Danio rerio: one gene and its partners. The main gene of each other region encodes a partner of the protein of the gene in region 3 in a complex. Links are inferred from orthologs where the notes say so. Each region holds a gene or a part of one and is shown on either strand. Other genes may lie near its edges.

Region 1 (6,711 bases), on a different chromosome or scaffold from region 3:
TTTCACTGACACTTACAGCAGAAGCCATATTTCTCTGCGATTTAGGGAATGAAAGTGAACTCCATTTCTCTCTCTCTCTGTGGCCCATTTCACCTGCTGGCGTGACTTTTCCTCTCGGCTGCTGGTGTGACTTTTCCTTCCCTCTCTTTTCCTCTCGGCTGTTACAACGATACTTCTGGATATAAGTCTGCATTCCCGTGGCTGTACCTGTACACTGTCGCGAGACCAAAAAAAAATTTATTTCCAAATAAAGCGCGGGAGCGGTCTGTAACTCTGGTGTAATTTGAACAGGAGTGGGCGGTCTCACAATATCGCTCCCGAGCGAGCAAGCGAGCAAGCAAGCAAGTGCACGTGTGTGTGTGTGTGTGTTTATTTGATTGGTGCTGTCTATGTTTGTGTGTGTATGTGTGAGAGACAGTGTAATGCTATGTGTCTATGTGTGTTTTTAAACAGACAGCTTGTTATAGCCCCCGCCAAAAAATATAACACTGTGTATGGAAAGCATCATCAATGCACCAAGATACCGAATTGAACCAAATCGATGGCATGATAATCGTAACCGAACCAAACCATGAGACCAGTATAGGTTCACACCTCTAATCAATAATATCGATTTTTATTTACTTTAACGACAAAATGTCAGTAAATAGCGCTATTCTGCCTAGCCTGCTTTACTGAGCTGAAGTTGGTTTTATATTCACATCACATTGGTTCATTTTTGAACAATGAAAACCTGTGAAGCGCCCTCTATATTGTTTACCCTTCTACTCTGAATATTCAGTCTGAAACAGCATGTAAATGTGACTTACTAATAAATGTAATTCCTGCACATCGCTGACCAATCACTAAGCACACAGGTGTCGATTTAGGACAAAACGCGTAAGAGAGAGTAAGGCCAGCGATCCTTGCATGTATGAAATATTGAACATTATGAAGTTTTGCTTGCAACACTGAAAACATGCTAGATATAAAGCAGTTTTTCATTGGGAATTTTAGTATTATAAAGTACTATAAACTTTTCTAACTGGTGAATGACATGATCTAGTGGGTCTCTGTCATCTTTAATGTGCGTGTTTGTGATAACAGGAGGCGTGGTTTTGGCCAGCAGTGGAGAGATTGAATTTAAAAAATATTATGCTAGCCGGTTATCATTTAGGCTGATCCCCTAATGCACATTTAATATACACTGCCTGAATTAATGTCCACAAACCAGGATTGAGGAGTCTTTTATATTATTGTACTGACATGCTGTTGTGGTGATAAAGACGGCATAATCTCTGTAATTCATTACAAACATGCACTGTTTTAAAAACTTTTTAAACTTGTAAAACTCACTCTCGATCACATTTGATGATGACTGATGATCACAGAAAGCTGAACAGATCTTTTAATCCCAGTTGCTTTGCACACTTTGTGCCTTGTTGATATGATTATGCGTATTACTACTAATACATGTTAGTACGCGGCTGTCAATCAATTCGGTGGACAGGGAAACCGCCCTCCTATGTCACGATGCGGTGGGCCTCAAAATAGGAGGGATTTAAATCCTATTTTAACATTAAGAAATTTTTTAAAAAGAGACCTATTGTCTTTATATCACCTTAATATGACTGTGGACACACACTATACCTATACACAGTTCTGTCCAAACAGATTAGAAAATATTATTTTCATCATAGGTGCCCTTTAAAATTATATTTTATGCAGATATGCTCCACTACACAATAACTCAATTTTAGCAAGCTATTCATCTGGTGAAATTGCATTTATATCGCAATATATATCACAGTGAATGAAAATATTGCAATGTCAGTTTTTTCCAATATCATTTAGGCATACATTTTTTATTTACAGGCCTTTACCTTTAACGTTACACAACCTTTTGAACCCTATTTGTTTGTCTGGGTGTGTGTATTTTTAAATAGCTTTTTAAAGAATGACATGAAATGATCAGGTAAATGCATTACCCTTGGCATATACATAAAAACCCGTTTCATTTTAGTCATATTGATAAATTGTAATGTTAAATGCGATTTAAAAACACAAAAGGGTGAAACAGAAGATTGTTTTGTGACGGACAAAATAATAAACATTAAACACGGTCAATGTCAATATTTAAACTATCGAAATAAAGTAATTTACCTTCGTTTATATTTGCAGTAGTCAATTTTAAATGCTCGTTATTTTGCTAGCGGAAGTGAGGTCATGTTATGCAGGAGACCGTTGGTCCAATCAGCGCAGCAGCCGGGAGCGGAAGAATGATGGCGGCGGACGGCGAAAGACGCGGTGCGTGTGCTGCAAGTAAACAAGAGCAAAGCAGAAGCCAGATTTCACTTCATGCAAGACAAAGGGATGCTTTCAGAGACTGCGTTGCCTCTATTGTCGACTCCCTCGCTGAGCTTGGAGTAAAGGTTTGTTTAAAAGCAAATTCTGCCACGGTGTCACTGTTTGGGATAGAGCTCTTAACAGTCATATTTGTAACGTTATTTCATTTGAGATGCCAAAAGCTAAATATGTAACGTTAAATTATGGAACTTTTCCGAAGTAACAAGATCACCCATGTCGTAAAATTATATGATTTGTCCGCGCTAATATGATTTGTTTCAATCACTTAGATAATTTGTCTGTACTTGTCTGCAATAAGTTGTAATATGCAATATTTCCACTGTCACTGCTGAAATAATCAGCCTGTCCTGGAGTTTTTATAATGGTCTCATATGTTTCTTTTCTGGATTTTTATTCAATTTTTAGCTGGTTTTACTCCCTGCCTCCCCAGCTGACAAGTGCCTAAAATCTTACTACTCATTTAACAAACCATATTGACCAGCGAAATAAACCACCTAGTCTGTTTTAGGCATCTTTTCTGCATTGACAATTTAGAAACCACAACAACAACAAAAAACTGTCTTATTTTCCAGTTAAAAATAGATGATAACGCATTGAAAATCAGTGCCAATGTCAACAATGTGAACATCTGTGAGCTTCAGCCATCTCATGTGCACTCCTGTTTACAACAGCACATCTCCAAACTACAGGTAAACAGAGTCATGTGCATTATAACATTTACTAACACACATAGCTGATTTTTTAAGTATAAAGATATCTTCTGAACCTTTAAATAGATCTTGTAAGTGAATTTTGTTTGCCATTTATTTGTTTACTTATCTGTAATGAACCTTATCCAGAGAATTGGTGAACATTTGTTTCCACAATGGAATAAAAAATTAAACCCATTATGTCACAATTGTAATTCAGAGAATATCATCAGTATTGCCAGAAGGAAACATGATATATTATTGGTGGAAAAGTCAGAATTTTATAATGCTATTTAATATTTTATCTTGCATTTTGACTTTTTATGTTAGAATAGGGACTTTATTGCCCACAAATCTTCATTTGTATCTCACATTTTTGATAAAACGTTTAAATTACAAGATATAAATTATTATAAACGAAGTCAAAACCATTTGAAACCCTGAGATGCAGAGTAACAATACTGAAAATAGTCAGAATTACGAGATAATGTTCATCATTTTCAGTTGCAAGTATCAAATCACAATGCGTTGAAGAAAAGTCACAGTTATCCTTACTTATTTGTTTTTTCTTTGGTGGAAACAAGCTTTTGCTGCAATGTTTTTATTTTATGAAATTAAGGCTTTGAGGGATAGAAAGTAAGTGCACTCTTTTAGTTGATCATTAAAATATATAAAATACATAGTACTGACTCATGTTTATTTATAATTAATCACATCCAAATTCAAAGCTTGTGTGTGTGTGTGTGTGTGTGTGTTTGTGTGTATGCATGTATGTATGTAAGTGTGTGTGTGTGTTTGTGTTCGCGTGTGTGTGTGTGTGTGTGTGTGTGTGTGTGTGTATATATATATATATATATATATATATATATATATATATATATATATATATATATAAATATATATATATATAAATATGCTATTTATTAAATTTTTTTGAGAAAATGTTTATTTACATTTACATATAAAATATATATAATATTTTTTATTGTAAAATTAAGTTTTATGTATATGTGTGTTTTAAATATGCATACTACACACACACATATATATTATGTTACAACGTATTTATATTTTGGTCACGGTTTACTACGATTAATCGTTGCCCTGCACTATTAAATTCATATTATGCAAGTGGAATAATGTTGTTTCCTGAATAATGTTCTTAAAATGTAAATATGTTCAGTGTTTTTTGCAAAACAAAAACTGACAGGGCAAAATGAATCCTTTGTCCTTCAAGATGGTTCTCTGATTAGCTTATCAGCGTTTTTTTTTTTTTTAAATGTATATGACCAGCATTACTGCACATTATCTTCTGACTCCTTGCTAAGACACAGTTTATCATTATAAAGACACTGTAAGACTGTCTTTTACCACATTGTTTTTTTTTTATTAACCTTCTGCTTCTAGTCGGTCTCTGAGAGTTTGAAGCAGATAGTGGAGTCTGAGGCAAATAACTGTACAAGTTCCAACCCAGACATCGGTGAAAGGAAAGAAACTGCACATACATCTGAGCAGATGTTTACTGATGATCCTCTTACATCTGACCACTGTGCTGCCCTTGAGGATCGAAACAGGACTCAAATCGATGATAACGTGCAGATCAAGGCTGCTAAATCAGAGGTAAATTTATCACTTCAAAATGTAGGCATATTTTACACAAATCACAGTTGTATTTATTGGAATATTTAAACAAGTAAGTGATCATATGAATATTTACAAATTGGGGTAAAACGTAGTGGTTTTGAAGGATAGTTGCAAAATATAAAGATTAAAAATGACAATTAATGACAATTTTTTATTATTATTATTATTATTATTTTTTTTTGGAGCATCCGTTATGTAGTGTTTTTATATGTCATCAAATGATTCCTATTCGAAATATGTTTGGCACCGATGACGTAGTGGTTAGTGCATCAACAAATGCACTCACGGCGGTGATCACGGCGACCTGAGTTCGATTTCCACCTTGAGGTCCAATGCCGACCCTTCCTCTTTCTCTCTGCTCCCCATGCTTTCTTGGTAATAGTCTCTACTGTCCTGTTTGTTGATAGTAAAAACTCTGAAAAAATTATTATTAAAAAAAGAAATATGTCTGGCAAAGTTGTTTTGATACATAAACCATTGTTTCAGTGAATTAAATTTTAGTGTGCATCTTCTAAAAATCTTAATAAAATGTGCTTTACATTATTTTAATAACGCATTTTAATTAAGAAAAATATTACCCTTTTATTTTCTAATCAAATCAAATCTAACCAAATAATTTTGTCATAATATTATAAAACATATATATATATATATATATATATATATATATATATATATATATATATATATATATATATATATATATATATATATATATATATTTTTTTTTTTTTTTTTTAATATATATATATATATATATATATATATATATATATATATAGTTTAAATCAAAATGTCAAATGTAAAATCTTTTTTCATCCAAGAGCTATTTTCAGTTTTAATGCAGTAAGTCATAAGTACATTGCTACGTATTAAGATAATTTATTTAGTTGAATAGTTTATTGTTTTCATTTTTATTTACCAATGATTATTGTTAGTCTGAACATTTATTTTTGTGTGTTAAAGCAATCTCTTCTCCCAAAACACAATTAAAGTCAATTGCTTGACAGTCAGAATGTATTATTTGCATGTAATCTGCCCCAGTTGGTCAGTCATATGCAGTGTGAATTGCCATCTGTGGACAGACAGTTGAGAATGAATGAAAGGCTCCTTCACCACTTTTCCTTCAGAAAGAAACAAATAGCCACCCACTTTGAGAGTCCTGAGAGAGGTCCTGGTCCTTGCAACGTTATGAAGTGGATGTTCATTACACGCTGAAATTGCATGTGGGCGAAGGACAAGGAGGCCCTCATTTTTATTGCTTATTTATTTACAGTCACTGTAATAAAAGGCCCAAGCAAATCACAACTATCTGAAACGGTTACGTGTGAGAAATATTTTGATTTTTGGAATAATTGTGTCCACCCTGGTCACTTGTTAGTCATGCAGCCCGTACGGCCTAGCGGTCCTCATTATAACTAAACAGCAAAAAAGAAGACAGTGAATTGATTTTTTTGTTCTTCAATAGCTCATCAGCCTGACCCTCATTGCTCTCTCTCTCCTCATTTTCTCAGATTGAACGTAGGATATCTGCATTTATAGAGCGCAAACAGCTGGAGATCAATGAAAACAATGTGAGGGAGTTTTGCAACGTGATCGACTGCAATCAGGGTGAGAATGGGAGGGTATGGGCGGCAGGGGGGTGGTCAAAGGTATACTGCACAACAATTGCCAATGTTTGTAAGAGTGCTGATTTTCACTGACGTGAGGTCAGAATTCAACTGTCATTTTCACAGAAAATTCTACAAATAAAATCTATTATTGTTAGTGCTGTCAAACGGTTAACTATATAAATAATCCAAAATAAAAGTTTGTATTTACATAACATTCATGGCAGTTTTTCTGAGGCTTTTTAAATGTTAAATTCATATCAACATTATATCTTCATTTATTTATTTTATTTTCAGCTTAGTCCCTTTATTAAACAGTGGTCGCCACATCAGAATGAATATATATATGTATATACACACACACACACACACACAAACACACACACACACACACACACACACTTAAACAAGGCATTTACGCC
Region 2 (6,729 bases), on a different chromosome or scaffold from region 3:
AGTTTTTAAGGGCAATAGTACCTCCAGCAGAAAAGGCCCTTCACATCAAAAGCTACTAGTCACCCCATGATTCAGCAAACATCTCAAAAAAAAAAATCTTATGATCCTACACCCAGCATACTATTGACTATTGACTGGCTTACTTTATATTCAAAGAAAAGAAAGATCTTCAATAATGCCTTTTCAAGTTGTAAAGAATTCATTTAGAGCAGTAATAGCAATACTGTAATAGAGTAAAACTATTATATATAAGCTCAGTTGGCTTTCTGTGTGAAGTTTGCATGTTCTCCCTGCCTTTGTGTGGGTTTCCTCTGGGTGCTCCGGTTTCCCCCACAGTCCGAAGACATGCGGTACAGGTGAATTGGGTAGGCTAAATTGTCCGTAGTGTATGAGTGTGTGTGTGTGTGTGTATGTGTGGATGTTTCCCAGAGATGGGTTGCGGCTGGAAGGGCATCCGCTGCGTAAAAACTTGCTAGATAAGTTGGCGGTTCATTCCGCTGTGGCAACCCCAGATTAATAAAGGGACTAAGCCGACAAGAACATGAATGAATGAATGATATATATTTATATGAATATATATATATATAATTATTTTTAGGGTTTTTTCACCTTTATTAGATAAGACAGTGGAGGAAAGACAGGAAAGCATTGGGATCAGAGAGAGGGGAAGGATCGGCACAGGACCTCGAGCTGGGAATCCAACACGAGTAGCCGTGAGCACCATGGTGCCACATGTCGACACACTTAACCACTAGGTTATTGGCGGCAACGAAACCATGATATTTTTATTCAGGGTTATCATACCATCAGAAACATATAACGGCCCATGCCTAGAAGGTAATCTGTTGTGGCTTTTTCAAAGTATTCAGTCACACCAGAATTTACAGTATGAAAACAATTCAATCAAATGCTTTTTCAACTACATCTGGAGGTGGCTTAAATTGGGCATACTAAAAGCTGTTAGATCTCAATTTACACCTTTTTTGTGTAAATAATGATCAAATCGCTGAAATGCATCTTAATATATCTGTGTTTTGGATCTAGGTTATTGAAATGCCTGAGCACAATCCAGGGCAGATGGGTGGAACCATGCGGCTGGGAAAAAGACGCACCTTATTCAAAAGCACCCCCAGCATTCTCCGTAAGTTGTGATCTTTTGTTTATCTTAAAATCATACATTTTCTTTTCGGCTTAGTACCTTTATTAATTTGGGATCGCCACAGCGGAATGAACCGCCAGCTTATCCAGCATATGTTTAACATATTGGTTTCTTTTCCGGCCGCAACCCATCACTGGGAAACACCCATACACTCCCATTCACACACATACACAATGGACAATTTAGCTTACCCAATTCACCTGTACCACATGTCTTTGGACTTGTGGGGGAACCCGCCGGAGCACCCATGCGAACATGGGGAGAACATGCAAACTCCACACAGAAATGCCAACTGACTCACCCAAGGCTTAAACTAGCGACTTTCTAGCTGTGAGGCGACAGCGCTACCCACTTAAAATCTTAAAATCATATGTCACAAATATAAATGTACATTCTATTTAAATAAGTGCATATAGATAATATTTGAATTATATTGTTGTAGGAAAGCTGTATGGAGATGCTGAATACGTGGACGAAAGGCATCGACACCGCTTTGAGGTTTGCAATAAAGATCTACTCTAAAATACCGTAAATGTTTTGTTTTCTATTTATTCATGTTAGTAATCTTTGCATTTTTTTCCAGGTGAATCCAGAACTGAAGCACCACTTCGAGGATAGAGGTTTTCGATTTGTGGGTCAGGACCTAGAGGGGGAGCGGATGGAGATCATTGAACTTGAAGGTCAGTGATCGTCTAGTATTTGAAAAAGCGGTCAGTCAGTGCTCATTTCAACTGATTTCTTCTGTCCAAACAGATCACACGTATTTTGTTGGAGTGCAGTACCATCCAGAATTCACTTCTCGCCCGATCAAACCCTCACCACCGTATTTCGGCCTTCTGCTGGCAGCGTCTGGGAAACTGCAAAACTACCTCCAGAAAGGATGCAGGCTCTCACCTCGGTTTGTTGCTTCTTAAACTCATATCATCCTAAATTAATTTAAAGTGGAGACATGCAGTATACTGTGTAAGTTGTCTTATTATCTTGTTTTCCTTTTCTCTCTCAGAGACGCATACAGTGACCGAAGCGGCACTAGTTCACCAGACTCGGAAATCTCTGAATTCAAATTCCCATCGCTTTCTTAAAAAGGAAAAACCCACCTAATCATAAAAACACATGAATGACGTTTTATGATATGAATGTATGAATTTAAATAAATGGATAACAATGCTAATGTGTTGGTTTTAAAATGTGAACAAGTGTGTTGTGTACAGTGGTATAGAAGTGATAATTTATAGTTATTCATTGTACATTTTCATTTAATTTAATTTATTTAATTAATTAAAATTTTAGAAATAATGTGTTTTAATAATTTTAATTTGTATATTAAAGTAATTTTTTATTATACAGAACTAGCTGAAATATTATATATTAAAAGTTTTATGAAATATTTAACATTTATTGTATTTCGAGTATCATAACTAGTATTACTTGGATGGTTTTATCAGGAGTTGACATTAATAACAATGAGCTGTGTTTAAAATGGCTCACTGAACTTGTCTATGCAAATACATATGTAAATTGATTGTTTTTACAAACTAGGGGATTTTTATATATAGAGAGAGAGCACTCTACCACTTATAACTATTACTTTACCAAATAAAATAACAATTTGGAAGAGATCATTTTCCAGAAGGCTTCATCAACTTCTCTGTGCTTTTATTTTGTAAGACTTTTGAGATCTCGCGATACTTCGGTTGAGCTCCGTTCGTCAGAAGAGGCGCTTGTAGAAGGAAAAACAACTTGGAAGGGCTTGTGCATATTTCCAGACCTTAAACGTCGAAGATGGAAAGATAATACAGAATTATTTGCATCAGGTACTGCAACGATTAACAATTAAACGGAATTACATCAAACAAAAGGAAAGCATCGCGAGACGTGTATTGGCACGAATGTTTTTCTCGCTAATGTTAGCTGCTAATATGTTAAGCTACAGTGTGATGATTAAAAACAACAACTATGAAGAAATTCAGACTAAAAACCATACTTATTTGGTAATTTGCATTATATCACATTAATATCAGCATAACACTTACATTATCAATTAGTTTAAGTGAATTATGTCATAACACACTGGCGAAGCAAAAAGGCTAACGCTAGCATATACAGCAAATGACAGTTCGGTGATGTTTATTTCTATCGAGCTAAAAGTTCTTCACTTCGTTGATATAACTTACTTAAAACAGCCGTTTAATATCCTTAATGTATTTATGCATTGATTAAACTCAGTTGAACTCTTAATATCTTTTTTCTGCAGCTGATTTAAAACTCCCACTAGTTCTGAAGAGGCTTGTGACATTTGACATCTCTTGATTAGCATAGTATGACCCAGTATCCAGCACAGACCAGTCGCTCGAATTTCTACACGGTTGTGAAAGCAGAAGCCTCTTCAACACCGCCGCTGTCCAGCAGCATGGCCAACAGCACGGTCGCTCCGGGGAAACTGCCCGGCACCCCCGGACCAGCAGGCAGACTGAGCCCAGAAGGACCTCAGGTGGGTCAGACTGTACAGCTATTATAAGACTGAGGTAACGTTGGTTTTATTTTCGGATATTTGTTCAGTAAGACGGTCCCTATATTGTTTACTACGAATATTCAGTCTGTACTTGCATCAAAGTATGACTACAAAAGAATATTAGCACTATTTAATTGACTGTGAACAATGTTGTACTTTGATAGTCATTGGCTACTAATAAGATTTCTACTATTAGAATTTGCAAAGAATACTTTTCTGAAATTATATTATTGAGAAAGTTTGAATGTGCGAACCAACTTTTACTTTCACACGAACATGCATAAAAACATTCCTTCCTCTAAATGATCATTTATTTCATTTCTGCGGAAACCTAGAGAAGAAAGCAAATACACAGTCGAAGCTCTTCTTTAAAACTTATATTATATTATATTATATTATATTATATATGTAAAAAGAACCTAGATTAAAAAATGAAACAAAACAGTATCTAATTTAAATCTTAACATTTAACTACATTAATATAGTTTAAAATTAATAACAATTTAAATTGAATATAAATTTAATTTTTAAATATAACATTTTTCCCCATTATTAATGTAAAATCATATTGGCTTATTTAACCTTGTCTCAAAGCAAAATAAAAAGTAGCAACTATAATAAACTGTGTAACGTTAAATAAAATGTTTTTAAAAACTATTTGTTTGACTATTTTTGTCAAAACATTTTTGCTTCATTCAATCTATCATGATTTGCACTTCTACTCTTCCGTAGCTTTGGATGTAGCAGTATACCTATCATGATTGAAAATTTTGTGTTGATGATTACTAATCAAGCAAATAATTTTAAAAATATTTAGATTTTTAACAGTTTAGAATAATTTTATTTATTTATATACATATATACTTTTTATTTTGCTTTGAAACATGATTAAATATAGGCCAGTATGGCTTTAAAACTATGGAAAATAATATAAAAATTAGAATTAAATTTAAATTCCATTTTAATTATATTTATATTTAAATTATATTAATGTGTGGTAAATGTTAAGATTCAAATTGTATTTTTTTAGTTAAAATTTTGAGTCTTGGTCCGTTTTATATTAAAATAAAAAATCATATAAAACCAAGCAATCATAATGTTATATGATATTATAATATAACAATATATGTGGGAAAGAAGATCTTTGGTTCTCTGTTAGTTTGGTCTTCACAGAAATAAAACAAGCTGTCATTTACAGGTAAAATGTATATTAAGCATGTTAATTTGTTTATGCACTTAATTTCCCTCATTTAAAAAAAAAAAACCTGTTTTCAACACCTGAAAGTAGATCAAATAACAAAGATCAGACAAATAATCAATATTTGCGATAGACCTATATGTGAAAATAGACTTTTTTAAGCCAATTTAAAAATATATTGACATTTATGTATTTTTATTGTCCTCCCTACAGGTGCTCAGTAAGAAGAAGCTGCAGGACCTTGTTCGAGAAATTGACCCTAATGAGCAACTTGATGAGGATGTGGAAGAAGTACGTGTGTCTTATTATTGATGATGTTCAAAAGTGTTCTCACACATTCATTGTTGACTAGTCAGTTTGTTGCCCAAATTACCATTTTAAACACACTTGAATAATAAATAGTTGAGTTTGTGAGAAACAAATGGGATTTTAATTGCAATGATATATAAAACACTTAGGGAAATAATCAGTTGATGTACAGTTGCAATCAGAATTATTATCCCCCCTGTTGAATTTTGTTTTTCTTTTTTAAATATTTCTCAAATTATGTTTAACAGAGCAAGGACATTTACACAGTATGTCTGATAATATTATTTTCTTTTGGAGAAAGTCTTATTTGTTTTATTTCGGCAAGAGTAAAAGTAGTTTTAATTTTTAAACACCATTTTAAGGTCAAAATTATTAGCCCCTTTAAGCTATATATTTATAGTATACAGAACAACCCATCATTATAGAACAACCTGCCTAATTACTCTAACCTGCCTAGTTAACTTAAATAATCTAGTTAGGCCTTTAAATGTCACTAAGCTCTATAGAAGTATCTTGAAAAATATCTAGTAAAATATTATTTACTGACATCATGGCAAAGATAAAATAAATCAGTTATTAGAAATGACTTATTACAACTAATATGTTTAGAAATCTGTTGAAAAAAACTGCTCTCTGATAATAATTCCGGATTCAGGGGGTTTAATCATTCTGATTGCAACTGTATATTAGACCTGAAATATCTGTTTTTGTCAGTTCAAGAATTTAAACTATACTATATTTGTACTATAATGCATTATAGTGTGTGTGTGTGTGTGTGTGTGTGTGTGTGTGTGTGTGTGTGTGTGTGTGTGTGTGTGTGTGTGTGTGTGTGTGTGTGTGTGTGTGTGTGTGTTTTTTTACTATATTTGTACTATAATTCATTATATTTTTTATGAAGAATGCATTGATTTTGTCAAATTCAAATAACAATAACACTATTACAACAACAACAACAACATCAAAAAATAAATAAGTGTTTTTTTAAATGCTGCTTTGTTTATCAAATGATGCATAAAAAATTAAAGATGATAAAACTAACATACTTGAGCACAGACTCAACAAATTCAGAATGATTTCTGAAGGATGAAAAAAATGAAGATTAGTTGAGTAATGCCATCACAGGAATAAATGACATTTTTACATTTTATAATTATTGTTATTATTTCATTACTTTTATTAGCGATTACAGCCTAAATGAAAAAGAACAGTAGAAGGATATGCTAACATTACTGTTACTACAGTGTTGTCTGTTGACCATTTGTTTCAGATGCTGTTGCAGATAGCTGATGACTTCATTGAGAGCGTGGTGACTGCTGCATGCCAACTGGCCCGACACAGGAAGTCAAGCACTCTTGAAGTAAAAGACGTCCAGCTACACCTTGGTGAGGATCTTAAATGATCATTTTATCCATGGACTTGAGTGCTTCATTTGAATACATTTGAATAAGTACACTTTTAAAAGGGTAATTCACTCAAAAATGGAAATGTATTCCTTATTTACACTAAAAGAGATATTTTAACAAAAAGATGAAAACCAGTGAAACAGAGGCC
Region 3 (6,077 bases):
GTCAGATGTCATGAAAAGTCATAAGTACGGGATACTACACACCATGCACTTACTCACTGTGTACTTATGTACTTACACACATAGTGTATGAATTTAGTGCCAGTATTTTACTAACCAGAAATTCAAACCGTTTCCCAAATGACATTTGACGGTTGCCAACTTAGTAATGACCAAATAGTACCTGTCATGAGTATAACCACATTCACCAATGGTGAACACATTGGAGCACTTTTTTGACAGTGGTTCCTTTCAATATAATCCAGAATTCAGAACAGTACAAGGTAAAAAAAAAGTTAATAAATGTGAAAATATACACAGCTATAAAGTATATAGAGTTATTAAATGATACGCAAAGTCTTATAATTAATTATAAACAATATGTGACTAGTATTGAGTTGAGAAAGTAACATTCAAGTTGTCAGAAAATTCTTAAATGTGCCATAGAATGACATTTTGGATATACCTAGGCATAGCTGAATAATAAGAGTTCATGGAAATTACATATCATGAGCCTCAAATATCAATGTGTTATTGTTCTCCAACAAATCCTGTGAGTGCAAAATCCCAGTGAAAATCCGGCCAATTGGAACAAAACACAAACTCTGACAATCCACACAGAATCAATTAAATGAACGCCCCAGGCAGTGTTTGATTGGCCACAACGTTTTCTAGTGAGATTACATCAATTATTATTTTCCCCTTATTTTTAACTTTATATAAGCTTGTATTAAACATACTATGCATGTGGGTCTCTTGTTTTGAAAATAGGAACAGGCAGGGAGATTAAAAAAGGAACAGTTTAGTGAAGTAGGCAGCTATGCATGACCACTAAGTGCTCACAACTTGTCAGAAAGCAAAATGCAGGATATACGGATTAAAAACGTATTCAGCACCACCTTGAAGAGGCATAAGGTCTGTTTAACTCCTCTCTTTTGTTAGTTTAAAGTATATAATTCGCTGTGTATATTTGTGATGAGGCAACAAACACACGTATACTGAGTAAAAGTGCTTAAAGATTGTTTCTGGAGATTTATTTTTTTGCTTACCTGAGCCACAAACCTGTTATTTAGATATCAGTGAACAATTTTCACTCCTTTACATTTTTACAAATGTTTAGAAAAGATCAACTTAAAATTTTTTGTGGATGGTAATTCCAAATCATGTAGAGGCAGTTTAAATTAGAACACAGTCAACAAGTGATGATTTAAGCAGAATCAAGCACTATCTCATCTGAATATGGTCCATACGCTCTGACCACAGCTTTTTGATAATGCTAGCCAGATCTCACATACAGAGATCTATGTTCATATCTGAAGTGACACCTGTCATCTGGTCTGCAGGTGCTAAAGTCTATGAGCGAGTGAAACGCACACGAGAGGATGAGCGCAGGAAGAGGAACATGCTTTGTGACGTCCTGCAGTACATTCATGACACCCGCGCCTGCCAGCAGTGGCTGCACAAACAAGCTGCCATGTAAGATCTCTTCCTCACTCACTCACAATACTGCTTCCTTTATGTTAAAATGTATTATTACATGAGTCATGAATCCCCCTGCCTCAGTGCTGCTTAGTTTTCAGCACAGTTTGGAAAAATGCTAAAATAAGGAGTGTTAGCACAAATTGAGTTCATGGATGTAAACTCCTCATCTTTTTTTACATTTTTGAGATCAAAATGGGTATGGCTGGGCGATTTGGCTTAAAATAAAACTCTTGATTAATTGAACATTTTACCTCAATTAATTTTAATAAACGATTATTTTATATATATTTATATAAAAATATATATTAAAATAAATGAAAAAAATGTATACATATATATAGTGTGTGTATGTATGTATGTATACACACAAGGCTTGACATTAACTTTTTTGATCACTAGCCATTGTGGCTAGTAGTTTTCCAATGTTACTAGCCACTTGCCGTTTTCACTAGCCACAATTGTGGAAAAATATATTTCATATGCATACATTTGATTTTGGCATGCTAAAATTGCTTGATTTAAATGATGTGTTATGTCCACATAAGCAAAAGCGGCAATAGCGGCTGCATGCAAACAATCTGGAGCTCCTGAAATCAGCAGGACAGTGGGTGCTTGAGCACCGCTTTTTTCCAGTCTATTTCAAAGAGAAATGATCACACCATTTCCAGTCCCGGTTGTTTTGCGTCAGAGAACAGGAGCTTTTAAGCACTCCCGTGGTTCAGATCAGCTGTGCTTCGCTCACAACGTCAGTGAGTGAGTATCGCCTGTGTCTACCGTGCGCCCAATCATCCTCTCATTTGGTATTCACCTGCTTTCTTTTCCTCACATGAAAAGTTATCAATCGTGCTGCTTCTCGGTTTTAAGATCACATTTGGGTGCATATTAACAAATAATCTTTACCATACTAATCTTTAGGGTCCAGGCAGCTCTGCAAATTATCATCTCCTATTATTTTCAACCAGCCAAAGTGGCTAGTGGGGGTGTCTGTCTAACCCGCTACAGTTAAAATCTACCCGCACTTGACGGGTTGGCAGGTGTTTAGGTCAAGCCCTGAATATATGTATGTATATAACTGTAACTGGATATTAACATGTAAATGTGTTCATGTCAGGACTCTTATCAAACGTGGATTTTGAGGCAGATCAGACAGTGCATGCCTGAGTTATAAAAACTACCTGTTTCGTGGAGATTCGTCAAAGTTTGCGAGGCCGCCACAGACACGCTCTAGATATTCGCAATTTAACATCTCCAAGGCCAATAATTTTTAATATCCAGTTACAGTGCCACCTGCTGGCAATAGAAAATGACGTTGTACAGTGTTACAAACACATACTAATTTTATCAGATTGATTCCAGGTTTTGTCAGTATAATTCAAAGGCCTTTGTGATGTTAAATAGTGAAGATCTAGAGTTTTCACATAGTCGATGAGATTTCCCTCCTGAAGATATATAGATATTGAGTCACAGTCATAGCGCTACCTGCTGACTGAAGGAAGTTTGACATAAATCTGTCATTTTCTTAGATTTTTAATATATATATATCAGTTCAAATTATTTTTGTTCTCTGTCATCCTAAGGCCTCCGGGCGGCGGTAAGCATGGGTGCTAGATTCCTTTTATCGGTGCTTGCAGATTTAATTCTTTAGTTTAAATAGTTTAGAGCCGTTTGAAGCTACATTTGTCTTTTCTGATTTATTTTATTTCAAAACAAGCAAACAAATGAACAGAATCTTACAGATTGCAAACTTTTAAATAGCCATCTATACTCATAAGACTGTCATTCCATCATGGCGTTCTCCATAACTCACAGTGATGATATTACTGCAATATTTTACTATTATGTCTACTATAATATTACCTTCATGCGCTGTTTTATCATCACATGTGTGTGTGTGTGAGTGATGTTTCTTATTGTCTGCTGGTCCACAGAGCATTCTCATTCAGCTCGTGGCTCTTTATCTGACAGTTTGTTTGTGTTTTTGGGGCTTCGTGTAAGTATTGAGCAAATGCATACCAAGTGAACGATGAATCAGTTTATATTTGATTTGGCTCAAAAGCCCAAGAGCCGCAGACAGTCTTTCAGAAGCGTTTGTTGAGCTGTTGACTAACTGTGTGTGTGTGTTTGTTTGCCAGTGACGCTGGAATCGCGCCTGTGGTCAGCACTATCAGCACCTCAGGTACAGTGCTGTTGATTTCTTGCATTTTTCACGCTGTGTGTCCTGTCCTCCTCTCTCTTTTGTGATGCGCTCTTCAGCCGTGAAGCCGCCGGCTCAAACACATTCGGCTGTAAATACCGGCTACAAAAAGCCAGCCACTCACACAGCTCGCATGTATTTCAGTGTTTTGTGCTTTCACATTTTGGCTGCTTTTGTCACTTCACTGCACAACTAGGACGTATTTGAATGCATATGAATCTGATTGCAGTCTGTGGTTGTGAACCATTGAGATTTAAAACCAAGTCATTTTAGATTGGACTGATAGTGATATTTTTTAAATGATTTATTATAGTTTTATTATTGTTCATTTTCTATTAATTAATTAATATTTAAATCAGTTTATAAATACAATTTATAAAAATTTTATATTTAATTTTGATGTAATTTTTACAGTAATACACAAATTAGAAATTCTCAAATAACTCTCTGATACTGATAAATATGTTGGTATGCAAGTATTTTTATCAGCAATTTTTACATGTATTTTAAATTACTTCTATTGTAAAATAAATAGTTGTGGAATATGTTATGGAGAAAATTTGTGACATTTCTGTTATAAATGTTATCATTGTACACAAGTTTTCGTTTTTTTATTATTATTTTGACAATTGAATTTAATTCAAATTATGTGAATTCTCTGATTCTGATAAATAAGTTGGTAAAATGAGATTTGTATATATTTATAAATATTTTGTATATTTTAGCTATTTTATAAATAATCTTTAAGTAATGTTTTTAATTGTTTTAAATCAAGTATATTACGAGATTAATTTTATAGACAAATTCTAATGACAATAAAAACAGAATCTTACAGTGTCCCGATTTAACTCATTTATAATATTAATAATAATAATAATTTAGCTATAGATATATATTATAACATACAGTATATATTTATAATATTTTAAGTTATTAAATAAATTCAATATTACATTACTATGTAATAATATGCATTAAATATTCTAACTATATATATGAGCAATATCACACAAGTAGCAGTGCTGAGTTCCTTAGTGCCCCCACCAGTGTCGATACGAGTGTGATATTGCGTTTATACAACAGTTTGACGGCATAATTGTGTATATAAAAACAAAATCAAACACGGAGAGTTTCAAAAACCCTTTTGTATGTGAAACTACTTTCTTCCGGATTCAAATCATTAGCTGACAGTTAAACAGTTGAGCAAGCATCTTTTAAATTTTAGATCTGTAGTGTCTGCTTTTTGCTGGCTGTATATAGGCGGAGTAATACACAAAGCGTAAAGAGGCTGTACGTGTGCTGATATTACTTAAATATATCACGGCTATTAGCCAATCAGATTGGAGAACCAGACAGAACTGTTATATATATATATATATATATATATATATATATATATATATATATATATATATATATATATATATATATATGTGTTGACAATAAGAAGAGAAGGATTTGAAAATGGATTTTCTTGATGCATTCATTATTAGACAATTTTAGCAAATGATTCTTATAAAATTATAATTAATTACAATTTACATTTCATTTTTTTAAATTGTTTCCTGCAACAATACTTTTATAATTATTGTTATTAGTTTTATTCAATATTAATGTTATGATGAATAATAAATGTGTTTTTAATAAAGGCAGCACAGCTTTCAATATCCCATTATTAAATCGTTGTAATGCAGAGCTTATTGGTGCTTTATATTGTTTTAGTTTTTTTTTTTTGCACATTTAAACCAGACACATTTTTACCATCATTCCAAAAAAAAAATTATTAAGTAATAACAAAATTGAGCAATTATGAAGCATTTATTCACACAGATGAGCTGTTTGCGTTGCTCTGCAGTAACTCTTCTGAAACGCTAGCTGGCAATAGGTTTTTATGTTCCTCTGTGTTAAGTCATGAGTGTTTTGTTATTTCTGAATGCTACCTTAATGTACAAGTAGCTAAAACTGATAAGACAAAGATAAGACAAAAGTTAAACACAAAACAAAAGCTTGCGACACTTGTAAACTCTTGCTCAATCGAGCTCGCGTCTCTTCACACTGCCCACACTCGTCACTGCTACCAAGTCGACTAATTACAGAGCTTGTGCTATGCGTCATTCTAAATAAATCACCCTTAAGTTTTCTGAGCACTAAAGCCGCTTTTCCACTGCACTCGTCATTCGTACACGACTATCGGAATATGCCCCCTTGTGGCAGTCTTACAGAATTTTCAGTTCTGACGTGCACCATGGGAGAGAAGTTGATCTCGCAGTGTCCGAAGTAAAGAAGTGCAAAAGAAAAAGCTTTTATTCTCCATGTGTTCACTATGGTTAAATGAATGAATGAATACTAGAAACTCATAGACCGCTAAAAATATATAAGGGAATGTGGAGACAACATAAAACAT
Region 4 (6,077 bases), on a different chromosome or scaffold from region 3:
AAACATAACTTTCTGCTTGCAAAAACTCCAGATATATCTTTCAAAACTGCATTTTCTGTGTCATGAAATTGCTTCTGTTTGAAAGTGAAAATGAAGGCCCAGACCTTTGCGTGTTCTAGTATTTAACTAAATATTTACAAGCTGTATTACTGAAAAAAATAAAAGTTTAGGGTAATGGTGTGAAAATGTTGACAGGCATTCAAAGGCTAATTTTAATATCTTAAAAGAAGTTTAGAATGTAAATATGATGTGACAATATGATGTTTTATATGAGAATGGTCAGAATGACCAGTATACAGAAAAAGCAATGATCCAGTTACAGAATTCTAGTTCCACTGTTATTACAGCCTATTCTCGTGTCTGTGTTAACACAAAATGAAGCGAGTGCATCGATGCCCATTCTGGCCAATCACAGACATTTCTGTTGAGCTCCTGAGCACACGTTCAGCTCATGCTGATATGCTCTCCCTCATTGGCTGCAGCTCATCACTTCATATGAACGCGCGTGGGGTCGAGTCGGCCGACTGCTCTGGAATATTCAGCATGCTAGATATTGTATTTCTGTCTGCGAGGTGTCATCAAGCCTTTTTGATCCGTTATTCAGTAGTTCATAAATAAGACTGCAGAGCGCCGAGCACCAGGAAATTGTTTTTCCCGATCACAGTCCGATCTGTCAGCAAGCTCGTTAACTTTCAAATCGGGCTCAAATCAGGCTTAAAATCCTTTAGTGTGAACTAGGCTTAAGAGTCCATAAAAAATCTCCAGTAACACCAAAAAAAGTTGCTAGATTTTTTGTTAGTCGCTTTTTTTTTTTTTTGGAATATTTGCCGCTAAGGGGGTCTGAAAAGTCACTAAGTTGGCAACACTGGTGATTTAATGTAATTTGTGTACCTTTTTGCATTAAAAAAAAAAAAAAAAAAAAAACGAGAAGGCACCAACTGCTAAGCTAAGAGTGAAATCTTTAGAATTAACCATTCGGCATGCATTTTTACCTTAGCAAATAATTCCTGTTGTTGGCGGAGAAGTTCTTCCTCGGGAATGCCAAGGTTCTCTAGTCGAGAGCTGGCCTTTCTTCTTTTAAGTGCTACAGTTTTACACTCCTGCAGAACGTCTTTTACTTCTGCGATGTATGACCCAAATCCTAGACTTTCCAGTGCTTAAAAAAGAAGAACACATATAATGTTATTTAAGAAAAAAAGTATATTTAAGTGAAAAATTGTAACTACAGTGAAAATATTCACTGTAAATATTCACAAAAAATATTTTTCAGAACAGGAAAACAATTACATCCATCCATATGCTCCGTAGAAGCGAACTTCAAGGGATAGTTCACACAAAAATAAAAATAAAATTTGCTTAGTTAAAAGGCTGTTTCAATCCACCCTCTGTGATGTATATTATTTATTTTGGTAACAAGTAGCCACTGATATACATAGTAAGAAAATATAAATACTACGGAAACTAATGACTACCGGTTACCAACATTTTAAAAAATAGATTTTTGCATTCAGTTGACAAAACTAAAGGGTTTAGAATAAGTGAAAAATAACTTATTTTAGACTGAATATTGTAGACATTGATACAGTTGGTCAAAAATTTGAGATTCGAACTAAAGGCTTTGAGATTCAAACTAAAGGCTTTGATATACTTTAAGTGAAGTAAATTGAAAAACTGATGTGGCAAAAAATAAATCAGGTCAAAACAGAGTTTGTGTGGTATTTGCTTTATGAGGCCAAAGCAGCTTGTCATTGTAAACTTCCCAGAAGATTTGCTTCAGCTGGTAAACACCTTCCCAACAACATTTTCTCCGGCAGTTATGTAAATCTGCATGTAGTTTGACTAGGAAATTTGTTCTAGTTCATTTCCAAAAGTAGTAACAATCAATACAGAGATGCTTGTCAGTAGAATTTGATGTAAAATTATAATTAACAGCAAGACTGACAGTTTTCTCCATTCTATGCAGTTTTAATAGCAATCATCTGCATAACGTTCAATAAAAATAAGCATGACTTTACTGGCGTCCTCAAAATGAGTGCTAACAGCCACATTGTTTTGTTAAATGCTGATTTCTCACTTCATAATTTAAACAAACTGACCTAAATATTCTGTAATGTTCCGACAAAACACTGTTCAGGTGTTTATCAAATTTGTTTTACACAATTTTCTCACTTGTAGACCATGTGTATTGTTTGGGGGGAAAAGGGGTTACTGCTTTTACTATGTATCAATTTCTTCTAGGTTGAATTTGAAGATTAAGCTAATATCAGCTAGTCTAAATCAGTGTTTCTCAATGCCGTGCCCCACCAGTCCGAACATTTTGCATACTCTTATTTAACACACCTGATCTTGATAACCAGCTCGTTAAATAAGCTCCATGCATCAACCATGTTAGAATTAACAGGTCTCCACACAGTGTGCATTACTCCCTACTCGCTTTTTCTTCATTGAGCTCTACCTGAGCACAAAATACATTTATTTCACTTCGGAACACTCATTCACAGATTTGCACAATAGCATTGCCTAAATGCCTGCAGAGTCTTCTTACTTGAGATGTGACATGCCTACATAAATATATTGTACAATACATTTACATATCACACATTGAAACTTCCTTTGAATAAAATATATATGCTGTCTTCAAAAATAAAACATGGCATAATATCCTCTAAAGTCACTTTGCAGGGAACTTGTCAAATAAGAACAAGTGTCTGAAGTGAAAAGAAAACCATAAGAAACGTGCAGTTCAGTGGGCACAAGAAACAGGATTGTGAAATCAGTCCAGAGCTTCTTAATCTTGGCTCTGGAGGTGCAGTGTCCTGCAGATTTTAGCTCCAACCCAAATCTAATGGGGCTGGCTAATCAAGCTCTTAATAGGCTTTCTAGAAACATCCTTTTTTTGGAGCTAAAATCTGCAGGACACCGGATCTCCAAGATAGAGTATAAGAACCCCTGCGCTATTCTATATCAAAGTCCCTTTAAGTCAGGGGTGTCCAAACTCAATTCCTCGAGGGCCGCAGCTCTGCATCATTTAGCTCCAACCACTTCCAACTCACACCTGCTTAATAGTCTATAGTAGTCTTGAACACCTTGTTTATTTTAATCAGCTGTTTAATTAGGGTTGAAACAAAACTGTGCAAAGCTGTGGCCCTCCAGGAAACCAGTTTGAGACCTATTCTTCAAGGCAAGTCAGTTCACTCTGCAGCCATCTTTGAAACGCCTCTTGGGCACTATGCTCAGGCATTCTGTCTGAATATGGATACATCCAATTATAAAAAATTGCTTGCCAAGCTTAGGATTAAATTTCATATTAGGAATTACAATAAAATTAAACAATAACGGTGTCTTTAGTTTTAGTTCTAAAACGTTCTAATCACACAAAATCTTCAGAAACTCATGGCTGTTCCGAATCCCTCCCACAGAGGGAGTTAGTCTATAGTCTATAGCGATAGCTGATATAGAATAGCGATAGCTGATTGGCTCCTGTACTAGAAGGCAGGGCTTCATTCACCATGAAACTACACAAGTGACAGGTTGTGTAGTCTATAGTCTTTGTCTATATGCACATATCTTATCATACCCTTTAAGGCAGGGGTCTCAAACTCAATTTACCTGGGGGCCGCAGGAGGCAAAGTCTGGGTGAGGCTGGGCCGCATAAGGGATTTCACAAAAAAAGTCCTCAAATGTCATTATTAACAGTTTTAATTATTTCTTCTGAACATGAAGTGTCCTGGACATTAATAGAACATTGAGTGAAGATTATGAACAGTTCTTCTGAACATGGCATCTTTTGCCTACTTCTTGCGGCCAGAGACTTGACAGCGCTTATTCTCACAAATCTTATATATGTATATATGTGTATATATATATATGTATAAATAAAACACCCCCACCCCACTCCAGTCACATCAGTCTGTACCAGTCTGTATCTACCTATAATATATACAAGATGCAGGCTGTAGCTAGGTAGGTGGCAGGCTGCAGATAGGTAGCTAAGTGGCAGGCAGGGGCGGGAACAGCTTACCTTGGTTCTGGCCGGCACGAGTTCCCTCCCTGCCTGGTTTATACTTCTGCGTCAAGTGACCGGCGCAACTCACGGCGCAGGCAACGCGCGCAGCTGTGCATTTAAAGTATAAATGCGCAGAAGTATAAATGCACAGCTGCGCGCGTTGCCTGCGCCGTGAGTTGCGCCGGTCACTTGACGCAGAAGTATAAACCAGGCTTCTGCGCGCTGTCTCTGTTGGTCTGCATTAACACTTCCGAAACGCTAGTGGGCAGTGAGGTGTAAATGTTCCTCTGTGTCGAGTTTCTTCGCTTCTGTTTTGCTATTCTGAACACTTCCTGGATGTACAAGTGACTCAAACTCGCTCATTTTGAGGCAGGAACCGGCGGACGTGCAATAACTTTTACCATGAGGTAAACACAGAACAAAACTTTCCATCCGGAGCTCCTTCACAGGACTCCACACTTGTAAACAATCGCTCGCGCCATTCTCGCGGCTCTCGGTCCCGCCCAGACTCGTCGGCGCTAGCAAGCCGACCAATCACAGAGCTTGCGCTACGCGTCGTTACAACGTGTAGTTACAATTTTTGAGAGGTGCACGTCAGTGACGGCGACGGCCACGGCGAAGGGCTATGCGTCAGCGACGTAGCCTACGCCGGTGTTTGACTCAGAAGTAAAAATCAACACTTCCCGCCCGTCACAGCGTCTAACAAAGGGGCGGGGTGCGTGGTGACGTCACCAGCATCCCCGCCCCTTTGTTTACACGGCAGGCGGGGAATGCCAGTGACCGCTGTGTACGGATAGAATCAGCGGTCGGCGCGGGCCACAAAATATTGCACTGAGGGCCGCAAATGGCACGCGGGCCGCGAGTTTGAGACCCCTGTTTAAGGTGAATTGTTTTCTCACCACAAACCTAGGGCTTGGCGATAAAACCATATTTATTGTAATAATTTTTCCCTCTGTAAAACAACACGTTATAAATGTTTAACATAATAGTGGAATACATTAGCATATCATAACTGCATTGTTCCTTTGCACAACATAGATTGTTTATCCATTAGCACAAACAGCTGCTCGAGTTTGTTTGTATGTTCACATGCTAAAGGGTCTTGCTCATTAGGTTGGATGTTTGTCATCTTTGACAATAAAATTTAGTTTTACAATTTACTATTCTGGTTTTTGGAACTTTCTCCCAGAGGCTATAATCTGCACTTTAACTAAAGAAATAGACATTTTATTTTGATAATTATTGATACTGACTCTGATGTAAACAATTTTAGCATATTAACATGGCCATACTGCCCAGTCCTACATAAACCACCGCATCATTTATTTTCAAGCGTCTCAAGACCACTTGCAGACCAATTGAACAAGGAATAATTTACAATAGACCATTGAATTTAGGCATAGAATGATAACCATTTTCAAGGTATACCGCGGTATGAAAAAGTCAAGGTTTTAAAACCATCAAATTTTTTTGCAATACTGTTGCTAAGGTGATGTGTAAGATTGTTTATTTACATTTTTCTTGCTTTTTTTTGGACAACAGTTTGTCCAGCATAAAAGATATCCAAAGATGCTGTTTTTAACTGTAAAAAAAAAATGTGTTTTTGAAATAAGTGAAGACAGCAGAAGTCAATGATTCATTTGAATTATTTAGTCTGAAGTTTACTGTTCCAGAATATTTTAAATGTTTCATAACATAAAATATATTGTGTTCAAAAGGGATTTTTTTGTTTTGTTTTACCCCGACATTTAAAAAGAATATATTATTTTAGAGCAGTAATCACAATACCATGAAACCGTGCAATTTTTATCAAAGGTTATCATATAGTCAGAATCTTACACCAGCCCATGCGTATTTAATTATTCAAAAATAATGCACAACCAAGGTGGTGATGCGGCCACAATGCAAAGCAGATGTGCATTATTTTCTAATTTAATGAATAAACCAGAGTAAATTATTCCACTTGTACTATGGTTTCCAGACTGAAAGACGTAATTTAAGACATTTGAGAGGTTTTTTCCATTAAACAGCTCTTGTGTGTTAAACTACTAAAGTCTTGTGCATACCAACT

What was found.
Region 1: tada2a (region 3) and mbip share a complex: the UniProt entries of both Homo sapiens proteins name them as parts of the ADA2A-containing complex. The link is inferred for Danio rerio from reciprocal best matches to the Homo sapiens genes TADA2A and MBIP.
Region 2: tada2a (region 3) and taf12 share a complex: the UniProt entries of both Homo sapiens proteins name them as parts of the PCAF complex. The link is inferred for Danio rerio from reciprocal best matches to the Homo sapiens genes TADA2A and TAF12.
Region 4: tada2a (region 3) and dr1 share a complex: the UniProt entries of both Homo sapiens proteins name them as parts of the ADA2A-containing complex. The link is inferred for Danio rerio from reciprocal best matches to the Homo sapiens genes TADA2A and DR1.

The regions. Positions count from the first base shown.
Region 1 is NC_133192.1:40,161,971-40,168,681, forward strand, and holds the start of mbip (MAP3K12-binding inhibitory protein 1), read left to right. Parts: upstream 1-2,246; 5' UTR 2,247-2,258; coding exon 2,259-2,411; intron 2,412-2,918; coding exon 2,919-3,035; intron 3,036-4,442; coding exon 4,443-4,655; intron 4,656-6,193; coding exon 6,194-6,290; intron 6,291-6,711. UniProt on the Homo sapiens protein: Inhibits the MAP3K12 activity to induce the activation of the JNK/SAPK pathway. Component of the ATAC complex, a complex with histone acetyltransferase activity on histones H3 and H4.
Region 2 is NC_133191.1:38,669,002-38,675,730, reverse strand, and holds the start of taf12 (transcription initiation factor TFIID subunit 12), read left to right. Parts: upstream 1-2,888; 5' UTR 2,889-2,973; intron 2,974-3,413; 5' UTR 3,414-3,479; coding exon 3,480-3,650; intron 3,651-5,082; coding exon 5,083-5,160; intron 5,161-6,445; coding exon 6,446-6,560; intron 6,561-6,729. Other genes in the region: ctps1b (CTP synthase 1b), read left to right, coding at 1,045-1,141, 1,602-1,657, 1,743-1,839, 1,913-2,057, 2,163-2,241. UniProt on the Homo sapiens protein: The TFIID basal transcription factor complex plays a major role in the initiation of RNA polymerase II (Pol II)-dependent transcription.
Region 3 is NC_133190.1:18,242,992-18,249,068, forward strand, and holds part of tada2a (transcriptional adapter 2-alpha), read left to right. Parts: intron 1-1,340; coding exon 1,341-1,473; intron 1,474-3,611; coding exon 3,612-3,655; intron 3,656-6,077. UniProt on the Homo sapiens protein: Component of the ATAC complex, a complex with histone acetyltransferase activity on histones H3 and H4. Required for the function of some acidic activation domains, which activate transcription from a distant site. Binds double-stranded DNA.
Region 4 is NC_133181.1:26,449,851-26,455,927, forward strand, and holds part of dr1 (protein Dr1), read right to left. Parts: intron 1,157-6,077; coding exon 993-1,156; intron 1-992. UniProt on the Homo sapiens protein: The association of the DR1/DRAP1 heterodimer with TBP results in a functional repression of both activated and basal transcription of class II genes.